Stegostoma tigrinum: one gene and its partner. The protein of the gene in region 1 purifies or fractionates together with the protein of each later gene. This does not show direct contact. Links are inferred from orthologs where the notes say so. Each region holds a gene or a part of one and is shown on either strand. Other genes may lie near its edges.

Region 1 (7,221 bases):
GATTTAATGGAGAGAGTGTAAGATAAGATTGGAAAGTACAATCAAGCCTGGGGAAGTGACAGTGGGAGTGATTGAAAGAGTGTCTGTTCCAGGAATACAGTTTGTTTTTGGAAATGACCAAACAGAATCAAAGGTGGGAGTGACACCCCTTGTAGTGGAGAAGCCGAAGGAAAACCAGGGAACTGAGGAGTTAAAAGAAAAATACTCTGGAATTTTTCCAGATTATGTGGTAACAAGATCCCACAGTCATAAGTTACAGCAAGGAAGAAACACCAAAGAGAGAGACAAAGGAGTTGAAGTCTACCTGAACAGGCAGAGGATCAGGCAGAGGTCAGAGATGATGGGAACTGCAGATGCTGGAGAATCCAAGATAATAAAATGTGGAGCTGGATGAACACAGCAGGCTAAGCAGCATCTCAGCAGCACAAAAGCTGACATTTCGGGCCAAGACCCTTCATCAGATGTAGGATCTGGCAGAGGTGTTTAGTTCTGAAAGATTAATGGAGTTACAACAAAAGGATGAGACAATAAATGTTTATATTATAAAGCCTACTCTGAAAAGGAATCAGAACGTATTCCCAAATTTTATTATCTTAAGAATAGAATTTTAAGGCAAAAATGGAGACCATGGCAGGTTAGTGCAGAGGAGAAATGGATGGAAGTGCACTGGATTGTTTTGCCAGTCGTATAGAAACAGGAAGTATTGTTGGTAGCATGTGAGTTACCTGTAGGAAATTATCTAGGAGTGAGGAAGACTCAGACTAAGATATAAAAGCATTTCTATTGGCCTGGATTACATAAGAATGTGGTTGAATTTGCCGAACCTGTCATGTGTCAATTGGTGGGAAAGCCACAGTCAGTAATAAAACCAGTGCCTTTGATGTCAATTCCCACATTTGAAGAACCTTTCCTACAGGTTATAATTGATTGTGTAGGTCCCCTCCCTGAAACCAAAAGTGGAAATCAGTATTTGCTAATGATACTAGGTGTGTCTACCAGATTTCCAGAGGCAATTCCATTTCAGAAAGTTAACACAGAAAAGCTCGTGGAGATTTGCTTGCTTTCTTTTCCCACTATGGATTACCCAGGGAGATTCAGTCAGACCAAGGGTCTAATTTTACTGCCAAACTATTTAAGAATGTCATGGATAGTTTAGGCATCCAACACTTTAAATCAAGTGTGTACCATCCTGAATCCAGGGACCATTGCAAAGGTGACATCAGACCCTAAAGACCACGCTGAAGGATTATTGCCAAGATTACCCAAATGATTGGGATATGATATCCTAATTATAGTGCTTGCCATTAGAGATGCCCCAGATGAGTAGACACAGTTTATACAATTTGAATTGATATTCGGACACGAACTAAGACTGTCTTTAAAATTAATTAAAAGAAAGTTAATAGGTCTGAAGTCAGAGATCTTACAGTTGGATTATGTCTCTGAGGTGAGAGAAAGAGTAAACAGAGTAGGTAAATCAGCTGTACAACATCTGAAGGTGATACAGCATCTAATGAAGCAAGAAGTAGATAAGAAATCTAAAATTTTTACATTTGTCTTGGGGATAAAGATCACATAGTACATTTGGCAGAAAAACTATGGCATGCAAAACTGGTTATAAATTTAGCAAAAGCTGAATTTGTGAAGGCAGAAGACATTCTTGGGACGCAACATCGGACATGGGAAGATAACCCTGAGGAATGTGAAGATGAAGGCTATCAAGAAATTTTCAAGACCATCCTGGAATAAAGAGGTGCTTCAATTTCTGGGACTGAGTAGATGCTATTGGAGGTTTGTATCAAACTTCAGTAGCGTAGAGGTACTGCTGGCAGATTTGCCAAAGAAGAACATGAAATTTTGTTGGATAAAACAATGCCAGGAGGCATTTAAGAATTTAAAACCCGTGTTAACCATTGCATCAGTTTTACACACACCAAATTTCTTGAAACCCTTTGAAGTTGCGATGTAGGGGTTGGAACTGTGTTAATGCAAGAGCAGGATGGCAGAAATGAAAGGCCAACTGTTATTTTTTAAAGAAACTCAACATCCACCAGACAAAACTCTCCATCATTGAAAGAGAGATACTGAGTTTGGTGCTGGCCTTAGAGCATTTTAATGTTTATGTACAAAAAATGTTTCAGAGATGGCTGTGTAGGACATCAATACGAAACTATTTCATTGGTGTCTTATGTTACAGGCTTTTAATTTACAGATTATACATTACACATGGTAAAAATGTTATTGCAGATGTGTTATCACGTGATTAAAACAAAGTGTGTAGAAAAGATAAAAACCAGTATTGTCCAATGTTAAATGTGTATGTAGAATTAGTATGAAGGGTGTAACTTTAGATTATTGACCTATGTATCTTGTGATAATGGTGTTAAAGTTTAAAAGGAAATGGGCCACCTCTTCATAATTTTTTTTCCCAAAGTGGGGAGGTATTATGAAGTTGTGCAGAGATGATGTTTAAGAGATAAAGTGCTCTTCTAAGCTTAGAGATGTATACAGGAAAATAATGATCTGTGTGTAGCTGATAATATACAGAGAGTTCTAAAATTGTAACATACATCAATTGGCTGTGTGACTGGAAACCTTGGGCTTGGTTTGATGTTTTGGCAACAAGCTGGAATCAGCCAATTCATTTAAACCCAGTACTTAGAGATTGAAAATTGAATTTAAATCTGACAGCTTTGGCAACCTCAGACCAATGCTATTGTAAGAAAATTAATATGTCATCCAAGGTATATAAGGAGCGAGTTTTTGAAAATTGGGTGAGAACAAACCACCGTCTGAGGGCTAAGCATCTAGCACTCACAGAAATCGTTAAGCTCTCTGAGAAAGCACTACCCATCCATAAAGGGTACCATGGCACTTCTAGCTGAAAGTCTTCACAGAAAAACACACAGAGAAAACATCTCTGTCAGAAGGATCAGCAGAAGAAAGGCTTTAATGACTTAAGACCAGCAGAAGAAAGGCAATTATGATTGGACAGGCAGTGGAGAAGGCAGAGCATTTCAAAGTCTACATTCTGTTTAGACTTTGAGAGACTAAGTTTTAATTTGTATTTTTCTCTTACTGCTTGGGTCATATACATGGGACTTGTGTTTCTTGGAATAGTATACTAGGAGAATTGTGCTCAGTTTGAGAATAGTTAGGTGTTAGACTTGAATTGTTTGGTTTGTTCGTAGTTCTGATAATTTGTTCACTGTTATGGTTAAATAAATAAATAGTTACTCGTGACTTATAAAATGAATATCAGGGATTTTCTTTCATTTAATCTCCCCTTCTCTGTAGCAAGTTCATCTCATCCATGCTGACCAGACATCCCAAACTGACCTTGTCCCATTTGCCAGCATTTGGTTCATTTCCCTCTTCATATTCATATACCAACCTGATACCTTTTCAATGTTGTGATTGTACCTGCCTCCCCAACTTCCTGACAACTTGTCCACACAAGCACCACACTCTACGTGAAAAAGTTAGCCGTCAGGCCAACTCTGACATTTAGTTTGTACTCATTGGAGAATGGAAGAGAAGACATTATTGCTATATGTAAGGTTCTTAGGTGATTGACAGGAAAGATGCAGTGTTACTTCCAGTTGTGGGAGCATACTCTCAGAATAAGGAATTCACCAGTTAAGAAGAGATGAGGAGTAATTTCTTTAATGATGGATCATGATTTACTAAGTGGTCTTCATAGGGTTATGCTTTTTGAAGCAGGATTTACTGTAATTTCTCTCCACAGATGTTGCCACACCTATAGAACTGTAGAACTCCTACAGTGGGGAAACAGGCCATTCGGCCCAACAGGTGCACACTGACCAAGCCTCCAAAGAGCATCCCACCCATCCCCAGTCCTCCACCACATCCCTGTAACCTTGCATTTCCCATGGCTAACACACCTCGCTTGCACATCCCTAACTGGACTCTGATTGTTTTTCTTCACATATACTGCCATTCCTGCTGAGGTTTTCCGGTAACTTCAGTTTTTGTTGGAATGAACCAAATTGCTGTGATTCTGGAATCAGATATTGGCCCTTCTTCCAGAACATTACTGAGGTAGATCCATGTGGCGGCTCGAACCCAGATCGTGATTTCCCCTTATGTTTATTTTTAACCTTTTCACTGAATATCCCAGATTTTATTCTTGAGACGAAGCTCCTCAGGAATTCCCGCCCGGCTTATGCACGGACAGCCGCTTATGTCAGTGGGGCGGGGTTTGGGTCCTCTCCGTTTCTGGAACTTTCTCCGCCTTGGAGAACGCCGGTTTGCCTCGCTGCAATCCGTTGCCATCCGGCCCCATTGAGCCGCCGTCTGGTCCCATCCCCGCTCTAAGCGATGCCCGAGAAAAGCGGTAGTAAAGGCCCGAACGGCGCGGCCAGGGGAGTTTATCAGGACCGTGAGAAACCGGCTCAGATCCGCTTCAGCAATATCTCCGCCGCCAAAGGTGGGGCCGAGTGGGGATATGAGCCAGCGGCGGAAAAACAGCAGGGGAATATCGGAGAAACCCGGGGATGGATGAAGGGGAGCGGGGGGGGGGGGGGGGGGTGGACGGTGGGGGGGGGGGGGGGGGTGGACCTACTGGGGTCTGCCGAGCCACCGAGACAAAGTTTGTTTGTCGGGCTGGGGTTGGGGAAATGGGCCGCGTAACCGGGGTGCGGGGAACATGTTCAGGATCTGGAGGAATATGTACAGACCGTTTAGTGTAAAAGTGATGGCTGGCTATCCCAACATCGACGATTCACCCACCCCCAGGGTAAATTTAATGTATGCCCCACAGATACAGATACAGATACCCTCCGCTCAGCAGATTTTCATCCATGTGAATTTTAAAAAACTCAAATCAATACTTTTTTTTAAAAAAAATGTTTATCTTTCAGCTGTTGCAGATGCCATACGGACAAGTCTTGGCCCAAAAGGCATGGATAAGATGGTACATGTTTTGTGCTCTTGTTTGTTTCTCTTTCACATATCGAATCTGTTTTGGCTTTTTTCAAGCAGCATTTAGGTTAATGCTTAGTACTTGGCATAATAAAATTTCCATAAGTAATCAATCTAACGTTTGCTTTCATAAATTATTGCATATCTGCAGTTTACCCAGGCTTTTACTTACTTTTTGCCTCATAATTAAGGCATAACACCATGTGGAGCTGGAGGAACACAGCAGACCAGGCAGCATCAGACGAGCAGAAACGTCAGCTTTCCTGGTCCCATGATGCTGCCTGGCCTGCTGTGTTCCTCCACCTCCACACTGTTATCTCTGACTTCAGCAGTTCTTACTGTCTCTGTCATTTAATTAAGATTGATTTCAAAAGTAGACATAAGACAGCAAAATGTGAACATTGCTGTAAAAAGATTTTGAAGTTTTTGTCTTGTGCTCATCAGGACAACTTGCAAGAATACTAACATAAGGGGGGAAAAGAACACTTTACTGTACGAGAGGAGAGTGCTGATTATAGTCCACAGATATGTCTTTGTGAAGAATACACCAGTTCCCATGACTGATAATTGTCTTGCTTTTAAACCAGACAGAGTCGTAGTCCTAGAGATATACAGCATGGGAAACAAACCTTCAGTCCAACATGTCCATGCCGACCAGATATTCGAAAGTTGTGTTATCCACTTAACTTTCCAGACTCCTCCCTCCAAAGAACTAACATTTACTTAAACAAACCTTTGCCTTTTCTTCATATCTTGAAGCTTTTGCTATTTGTTTTTGTATTTTACTGTGGTTTTCCTTTGTAGCTTATTGTTATGACATTTTAGTAACCCTTTTGATCTTTAAACATTTCCCAGCCTTTTAGCCTACCACTGGCCTTTACAGTATAATATGCTGCTGTTTTTAATCTTAGTGTTATCTTCACTTTCCTTGCTTAGCCATGGATGTTTTTTCCTTCTCGTGCAATCCTTGTTCTTTTGGACCATAAGAAATAGGAGTGGGAGTAGATTGTTTGCTTCTTTGAGCTTGTTCAGTTATTCAGCAGAATCATGGTTGATCTAACAATCCTCAAGTACATATCTTCAACTCCAAGGGGAAAAATATCTCCTCACTTCAGTTTTAAATTTGTATCCTTAACATTTAATCTGTCAAGTCCCTTAAGAATCCTATGTGTTCAAATGAGATCATGAACTCCAGTACGTTCCAAACATTTTAACCGCTGCTCATGAGACAGTCCCTCCATAGTGGTGGTCATCTTGGTGAGTCTTTCTCTGAACTGACTCCAATGAAATAATAGCTTTTTTAAGGGGATCCAAACTGCTCGCAATACTCTAGATGTGGTCTCACCAGCACCTTGTACATTTGCAGTAAAATTTCTTTACTCTTCTACTCTGACTGCCTTGAAATAAGGGCCAGCATTCCATTAGCCTTCCTAATCGCCTGCATCTGTGCTAGCTTTTTGCTTCATGCCCAAGTACCCCACGTCACTTTATGTTGCAGATTTTTGCAGCTCTTCTCCATATAATTAATACTCTTCTTTAGCTTCCCCTCTAAAATGAGCTTCATGTTTTCCCAAATTATACTCTTGCCAACATTTTGCCTACATACTTAACCTGTAAATATCTGTCAACTGCTCGTATCCCTCTCACTGCCTGTGTCTCCACCTATTTTTATCTTCAAATTTGGCTGCAGGTACATTTGCATTCTTCCTCTTAAGTCACCAATATATATCATAAACAGTTTCAGTCCCAATAATGATCTCTGTAGAATCCCATTGGTCATGGGTCCCCAACCTGAAAAAGCACCCATATCTCCGCTGTCACTTTCTTGCCCCTAAGCCAATTTTCCTGTCCATGCCAACATACTCTCGAACATGGGCTGTTACAGTTTAACCTTTGTGAAATCCCTTGTCAAGCACCTTGTGGAAATCCAAATACATCACGTTTACCGATCCTGTGTATTCACTCTGGTTCAGACTTCCTCTAAAAACTTAAAATTAATCTGACAGGATATCCTTTTCATGAAGCCATGCTAATATTGCTTGATTAAATTGATTTTCCAAATGTTCTGCTCTAACTTCCTTAATTGATTAAAATACTCTTCCAATGATAAGTGGAAAATATTTTATTTGGAAGGAATTGTGTGCCTCCTTAAACATCTGCCAATGCTTATCAACTGTCCTACTTCTTTGTCTTTCCACCAGTCCACTCAAACCAGATTTGTCTTCGTGCCTACGTAATTACTTTTATTCAATTCCAGAATGCTAGTGTGGGATTCCT
Region 2 (7,697 bases), on another chromosome or scaffold:
CTTCCTACAGACTAAGGGGGTGGCCATGGGCACCCGCATGGGCCCCAGCTATGCCTGCCTCTTTGTAGGTTACGTGGAACAGTCCCTCTTCCGCACCTACACAGGCCCCAAACCCCACCTCTTCCTCCGGTACATTGATGACTGTATCGGCGCCGCCTCTTGCTCCCCAGAGGAGCTCGAACAGTTCATCCACTTCACCAACACCTTCCACCCCAACCTTCAGTTCACCTGGGCAATCTCCAGCACATCCCTCACCTTCCTGGACCTCTCAGTCTCCATCTCAGGCAACCAGCTTGTAACTGATGTCCATTTCAAGCCCACCGACTCCCACAGCTACCTAGAATACACCTCCTCCCACCCACTCTCCTGCAAAAATTCCATCCCCTATTCCCAATTCCTCCGCCTCCGCCGCATCTGCTCCCACGATAAGACATTCCACTCCCGCACATCCCAGATGTCCAAGTTCTTTAAGGACCGCAACTTTCCCCCCACAGTGATCGAGAACGCCCTTGACCGCGTCTGCCGTATTTCCCGCAACACATCCCTCACACCCCGCCCCCGCCACAACCGCCCCAAGAGGATCCCCCTCGTTCTCACACACCACCCTACCAACCTCCGGATACAACGCATTATCCTCCGACACTTCCGCCATTTACAATCCGACCCCACCACCCAAGACATTTTTCCATCCCCTCCCCTGTCAGCTTTCCGGAGAGACCACTCTCTCCGTGACTCCCTCGTTCGCTCCACACTGCCCTCCAACCCCACCACACCCGGCACCTTCCCCTGCAACCGCAGGAAATGCTACACCTGTCCCCACACCTCCTCCCTCACCCCCATCCCAGGCCCCAAGATGACATTCCACATCAAGCAGAGGTTCACCTGCACATCTGCCAATGTGGTATACTGCATCCACTGTACCCGGTGCGGCTTCCTCTACATTGGGGAAACCAAGCGGAGGCTTGGGGACCGCTTTGCAGAATACCTCCGCTCAGTTCGCAACAAACAACTGCACCTCCCAGTCGCAAACCATTTCCACTCCCCCTCCCATTCTTTAGATGACATGTCCATCATGGGCCTCCTGCAGTGCCACAATGATGCCACCCGAAGGTTGCAGGAACAGCAACTCACCTGGGAACCCTGCAGCCATATGGTATCAATGTGGACTTCACCAGTTTCAAAATCTCCCCTTCCCCTACTGCATCCCTAAACCAGCCCAGTTCGTCCCCTCCCCCCACTGCACCACACAACCAGCCCAGCTCTTCCCCCCCACCCACTGCATCCCAAAACCAGTCCAACCTGTCTCTGCCTCCCTAACCTGTTCTTCCTCTCACCCATCCCTTCCTCCTACCCCAAGCCGCACCCCCAGCTACCTACTAACCTCATCCCACCTCCTTGACCTGTCCGTCTTCCCTGGACTGACCTATCCCCTCCCTACCTCCCCACCTACACCCTCTCCACCAATCTTCTTTACTCTCCATCTTCGGTCCGCCTCCCCCTCTCTCCCTATTTATTCCAGTTCCCTCTCCCCATCCCCCTCTCTGATGAAGGGTCTAGGCCCGAAACGTCAGCTTTTGTGCTCCTGAGATGCTGCTTGGCCTGCTGTGTTCATCCAGCCTCACATTTTATTATCTTGGAATTCTCCAGCATCTGCAGTTCCCATTATCTCTGCTCTATTGGTAGCTTAGCCAAATGCTTTGCCTCCATGTATATACTTATTTTTGGTCACTATGCAGTCCCACTCTGTGGAGAGAAAGCAGTTAACGTTTCAGATCCAGTCACTCATGTCCAGAACTGATTGTACCTAGGGAAAGATTGGTATATATGCTGAAGATGGGGTGTGGGAAGAAGGGAGGAGTAAACAATAGGTGGAGATGGAGCCCAGAGAGACGCAAAAACAGTTGGGCAGATAACGGAGGTAAAGGTCAGTGTGGGAGAATGAATAGCTAATAAGGGGGGCCATTAATGGCTGACCGTGGTTTGGTTTGTATCATGAAAAGGCCTGGTGTATGGGAGTTGGGGTAAGAACATGGGAGAGATGCTCAAGCCCCAAAATTGTTCAACTCAGTACTTTTACCATGCATTTATTATTTATTTGCAGATAGATCTCCATTTGATATGGGTCATGTGAATGTGTTTTTTTTGGCTTCAGTTTACTCACAATTCCTTTTGTCATGCCCAGGCTCACGATTGTTTGCCGTAATTTCCTCTTTCTGAAAGTCTAAGTAACCTATTATCCTGGAACAATTTTACTGGGTCAGCCAGTCTGTGATTTTGGTCTTGCTGAGTCAGTTGATTCTCACCTCGTTGAAATTGGCTATCCTGGAATTATGTCTATTCTGAATGTTCCCTGTTCTTTTCTACCATCACCTTACGATTTTATGAAAAGTTGGGGCAGGTAGGTTCAATCAGGCATTCAAGAAGGTGTTTGTTTACTATTTAAATGGGGTAATGGGGAAAGGGCAGGAGAATGGCACAAAGTCATGAAGCTTGTTTGCTGAGTGTTGGAGACACAATGTTTTATTACCTCCTTTCTGCGCCATAACAATCTGTTACCTTCAAATTTCCTGATCCTTTCGGTTCTCATCCTCCTGATCCAGACCCAGCTCTGCCTCCCTCCTCATCAAGGCGAACTGATCCGGAAACTTCCATCACTTTTAGAAATTATCGCCAGTCTCTGCCCCTCACACTATTACTGCCCCGGTCGATATTCTGGACAATCGTGTTGTCTCCTTTTGTCATTTTCCTGCGAATTTGTCCCGCAGTTTTAAGACAGCTCGACTGTCTCTGGTAATTTTAGGCGCAATCTAAATGCAGTTCGCTCCGAATGGAATGAAGAGCTGCGAGTGTGGGGGAAATCTGAGACAAAAACACGAATTGCTGGAGAGGCTCAGCGGGTCTGGCAGCATCTCTGCAGAGAGAGAGGTTAACGATTCGAGCCCAGTGACCCCCTTCCTCAGAACCGTTATTGGGCCGCCGTTGTTGTCAGGGGCGGGAAGCCGGTTGCCATGGTTTCCCGGGGGGGGCGGGAAGCCGGTTGCCATGGTTTCCCGGGGGGCGGGGCCGAGGGAGCTATGCCTTCCCTCGGATGGATGTCCCGTCCGGGCCTGAGGGATGAATGGGGCCGGCTCCAGGTCCGGGTCCCCCGCCTCCCGCGGGCGGACGCTGCTGGCCGAGAAGGCCGTGTCTGAAAGCTACGCCCGGCTCCGGTACCGAGACACTTCGCTCCTGATCTGGAGGCAGCAGCAGTTACAGCTGGAGCGGCGGACACTGGGCTCAGGCCCGGGCCCCGGACCCGACAGCTTCCTGGGCCGCAGCCACAGCATGTGGTACCGGCAGTTCGGCAATCAGCCTATCCTGGTCCGGGACAGGAACAAACTAAGCCCGGGGTCCTGCCCCGGCACAGGCCCGGTTCCAAATCCAGGCCGTTCCCGTATTTGCTCATTAATGTGAACTGGATCCGGATTCAGGACAAAACCGGGACAGAGTAGCAAACCCAGTAACAACTGGAGAAGCCATTCCAGTCAGTACCGGAACAACTACTGAAGATCACAGTGGGTCAGGCAGCATCCATGGAGTGAGAGCAACCTAACTTTTCGAGTCCAAATTTCAAGGCTGGAGTAACACCAACTATCATTAGCGGCTGCAGTATTTATGACCGACAGTAGCTCTGCAACCAGATTAACACCAAGACGACACATCTGGACCAATATGGGAAATGACAGTGTACATCCGTAGTATTTACAGATTTTCCTGGATTAATACCTCGCATAAATCTGTTTGGAGACGGGATCTATGCAGATTATCACTCTCTGTATTCATCCTCCCTGCAATAGTGTTGTTATTTATAAACTGATTTTATTTATGGATCAATGCCTGAGCTGGAATAGCTGGGTGTTTCAGACTGTGCATAAGAACAAATCCGTAGTAGAAACCCATCTGGGAGAATCAGAACTGGATTATGAGATTGACCCATTTTCCAGATGTGGGCTGGCCACTCAGGTGATGAGATTACATTGCGCTGTAGAGAATAAACTGTGTAAAAAAAGTGATAGAAGTTTTGTGTTAGAGTGGAATTACAGTATTCAAAGCCATTCTAATTGTGTTAACATTACTCCCTACTGAGCAAGGCTTGTTTTTAATTGACAATTTTATTCATACAGCACTTTTCACTGACATACCCCTCACAAATATTTTGTGCTGTGAATGATTTCCAGCTTCTTGAGCATGTGATTTTTTTAAAAAAATAATTCCACCAAATAGCTTCGGCTGCTTGTGCTCTGGGTTGAAACCTTTGTCTCTGCAGCTCTCTGTCCCTCCTTTAAGCAACTTATAACCTACCTAATAACTTAACATGCTCTATCAAATTTGATTTATTATCGTCAAATATACCTAGGTGCAGTGAAAAGTGATAACACAGTATGGAGCTGGAAAAATACAGAACATTTTCTGGAGAAAGGTCCCAACCTGAAACGTCAGTTTTCCTGCTCCTCTGATGCTGCCTGGCCTGTGTTCCCCCAGCTCCACATGGTGTTATCTTTGGCTCCAGCATCGGCAGTTCTTACTATCTCTTCAGTGAAAAGCTCTGTTTTTGTGTATCTGTTACAGGAAAGATGTTGCAAAACTTGAAAGGGTGTTACGTGTATGGAATGAGCTGCCAGAGGACATGGTAGAGGCTGGTACAATTACAAAATTCAAAAGGCATCTAAATGGGTATATGGATAAGAAGGATTTAGAGGAAAATGGGCCAAGGTTATTTTCGGATATCTGGTCGGCCTGAAGTTGATTGCATACTGTACACCTGAGTACAAGCAGTAAGTACATATGAAGTTCATAAGTTGATAGAACAAAATGAGCAATACAATGTTAAAACTGCAGAGGAGCACAAAAAGTGAGATCAACATTAAATTTGTGACATCCCTTCAAAAGTCTAATAACAGCAGGGAAGAAGCTGCTGTTGAACCTGATGTTACACATGTTTAAGCTTTTGTACATTCTGCCTGACAGAAAAGGTTAGAAGAAATTATAGCCAGGCTGGAGGGATCTTTGACGTTGGCTACCTTTCCAAAGCAACAAGAAGTGTAAATGGAGTATATGATGTTCCTATGAAGCACATGATTTTTTTTTGCTATGACTAGGTGCTGTACAAATGTATATTGGAGTTTCTGTTGGAATGCAGTTCTTTTTGTGACAACCTTTTTCTCCCAGCACTACCGTAAACCCAGGATTGTGCATGTTGGATAATATTTAGCTGATTCTGGGAGCTTAATGTCAGCAGGTGACATCCAATAGGCTTAAGGGTGACAATACAGCATTGTTTATTTACAGCATAGATACAAGTTGTCTCATCTCCACCAATGTTTCTGCTTCCCCTATGCTTCGTCCCACTCCTGTTCATTTAGATTAACCTTTTATTTATTTCTCCCTTATGTGTTTATCTACCTTGGCCTTGTATACATCTTATTCATTACAATGACTCCCTGCAATAGTGAATCACATTCTCTCTGGGTGGAGAGGTTTCTCCTGAATTCCCTTTTGGAATTATTAGTGATAGTCTTATATCAATGATCTCTGTTTCTGGTCAACCTGAAGTAGAAAAATCTTGAAGTCTAAGATGCTGAAGATACAAAACAAAAACAAAAATTGCTGGAGAAATTTGGCAGGTTTGGAGTATTTGTGGATGGAAAGCAGAGTTAATGTTTTGAGTCCTGTGCTGTGAAGAAGATTCTGAAGAAAGGTCATTTGACTCAAAATATTTAACCTTGAAGTCTACTCTCTTGACTCCCTTGGTAAAACAATCACAGAATTATTGATTTTACGATCCTTACCAATGGTACTGTGACTACAGGACAGATAGCTGAATTTGAGGAGGCAGTTTTCATGTCACTAGACTAATGCTCTGAGGACCTGTGTTCAATCCCAGCATGGCAGATGGTTATAAACAGAATTCAGTAAAAATCCGGAATAAAAAAACAGTCTAAAGGTGACTGTCAATTGTTTCAGAAATCCATCTGGTTCAGTAATGCCTTTAAGGATGGAAATCTAGTGTCCTTACTACTCTGTCCGACATGGCCAGACTCTCAGCAATCTCTTAATTACCCTCTGGGCAATAAATGGTGGCTTACTCAATGATGTCAGAATTCCATGAATTAATTAAAAAAGAAAAAGGGTCAGGCTGGGTACAAGAACTGTAGACTGTGAGACTACTTGACGCTGGGTACAAGAACTGTAGACTGTGAGACTACTTGACGCTGGGTACAAGAACTGTAGACTGTGAGACTACTTGGCCCATTATGCTTGTGGCAGCCTTGTTCGTTATACCTTGTTCTGCTCATCAAGCCTTTTTACATGTTTATCTTTCATATGGAAAGTTATCGTGCTTTCTACTGCAACATTTTTTTCTGATGTGGTATCCCATGAGATAACAGTTCCTGTGTAAAAAGACATTCTGATCTCTTGATTGTGATATTTTGCGCTATCTGGCTCCCTGGAGCTTTTCTTTACCAGTTTCTCTTTCAAAAAGCTTCAATAATTCTGAGCCACTCCAACCCACACACAGGCAGATAACTTCAACTTCTTGGGTCAAACAGTAAGAGTGCCAGCAAATAAAACTCCTGATTGTATAAATCCCAATAACTCTCTGTAGAGTCTTGCTATCCTTCTTACTATGACCTCTTCTAAAATCTGTACACATTGGACACTTTCTCTTTTCATTTGTAATTAGGAATGATTAGATTAGATTCAGTTCCCTACAGTGTGGAAACAGGCCCTTCAGCTCAACAAGTCCACACCGCCCTTTGAAGCATTCCACCCAGACCCATTCCCCTATAACCCACACACCCCTGAACACTACCGACAATTTAGCACGGCTGATCCACCTAGCTTGCACATCTTTGGACTGTGGGAGGAAACCGGAGCACCCAGACGAAACCCACGCAAACACAGGGAGAATGTGGAAACTCCACACAGACGGTCGCCCGAGGCTGGAACTGAACCCGAGTCCTGGCGCTGTGAGGCTGCAGTGCTAACCACTGAGCCACCGTGTCTTGATGAATAGGCATCCAAATGTATGAGGCCTGGAAATGAAATGGCTACTCCAGAACACTATCTATTCTGACTAGTAAACACCAAATGACACATTTATCTGCACTTGGCCCACAACCTACTGTGCCCTGGTATTTTAAGATCTCATTTAGATGCCCCTTAAATGTTGCAAGTACCTGCCTCCACCATCCAATTAGGTAGCACATCCATATTTTCCACACCCCTTACATGAAAAACATTTTTCTCATATCTTCTAAACCACTTTTACGCCCTCTGGTCTTAGACGCATCTGCCAAGGGGAAAAAGATTCTCATGATCTATCCAGTTTATGCCTCTCAAGTTTTTCGTTCCTCAATCGGACCTCCCCTCAGCCTTCTCAGCTCCGTGGAAAACAAACCTAGCCTATCCAGTCTCTCATAACTGAGATTTTTCATCACAGGCAACATCCTGGTGAAATGCCTCTAAACCTTCTCCGGCACAATCACATTCTTCCAATAATGTGGTGAACAGAACTGCACACACAACTGTAGCCTAACCCTTGTTTTTGTAAATATTCACAATTACATCAAGCTTGAGGCATCACAGGGATGATACTCTTCTGTACACAGCACCTAAGCCCTGTCCTGACTTGCTATTCCACCTTCACTTCCTTT

Evidence for each region.
Region 2: the proteins of cct4 (region 1) and wdr5 purify together in Homo sapiens (affinity purification with mass spectrometry; 3 studies listed by BioGRID and IntAct, with this or other methods). This does not show direct contact. The link is inferred for Stegostoma tigrinum from reciprocal best matches to the Homo sapiens genes CCT4 and WDR5.

Annotation. Positions count from the first base shown.
Region 1 is NC_081362.1:831,021-838,241, reverse strand, and holds the start of cct4 (T-complex protein 1 subunit delta), read left to right. Parts: upstream 1-4,220; 5' UTR 4,221-4,341; coding exon 4,342-4,450; intron 4,451-4,883; coding exon 4,884-4,936; intron 4,937-7,221. UniProt on the Homo sapiens protein: Component of the chaperonin-containing T-complex (TRiC), a molecular chaperone complex that assists the folding of actin, tubulin and other proteins upon ATP hydrolysis.
Region 2 is NC_081382.1:45,448,711-45,456,407, reverse strand, and holds the start of wdr5 (WD repeat-containing protein 5), read left to right. Parts: upstream 1-4,697; 5' UTR 4,698-4,814; exon of another isoform or gene 4,815-6,129; intron 6,130-7,697. Other genes in the region: putative uncharacterized protein BRD3OS, read left to right, coding at 3,115-3,453.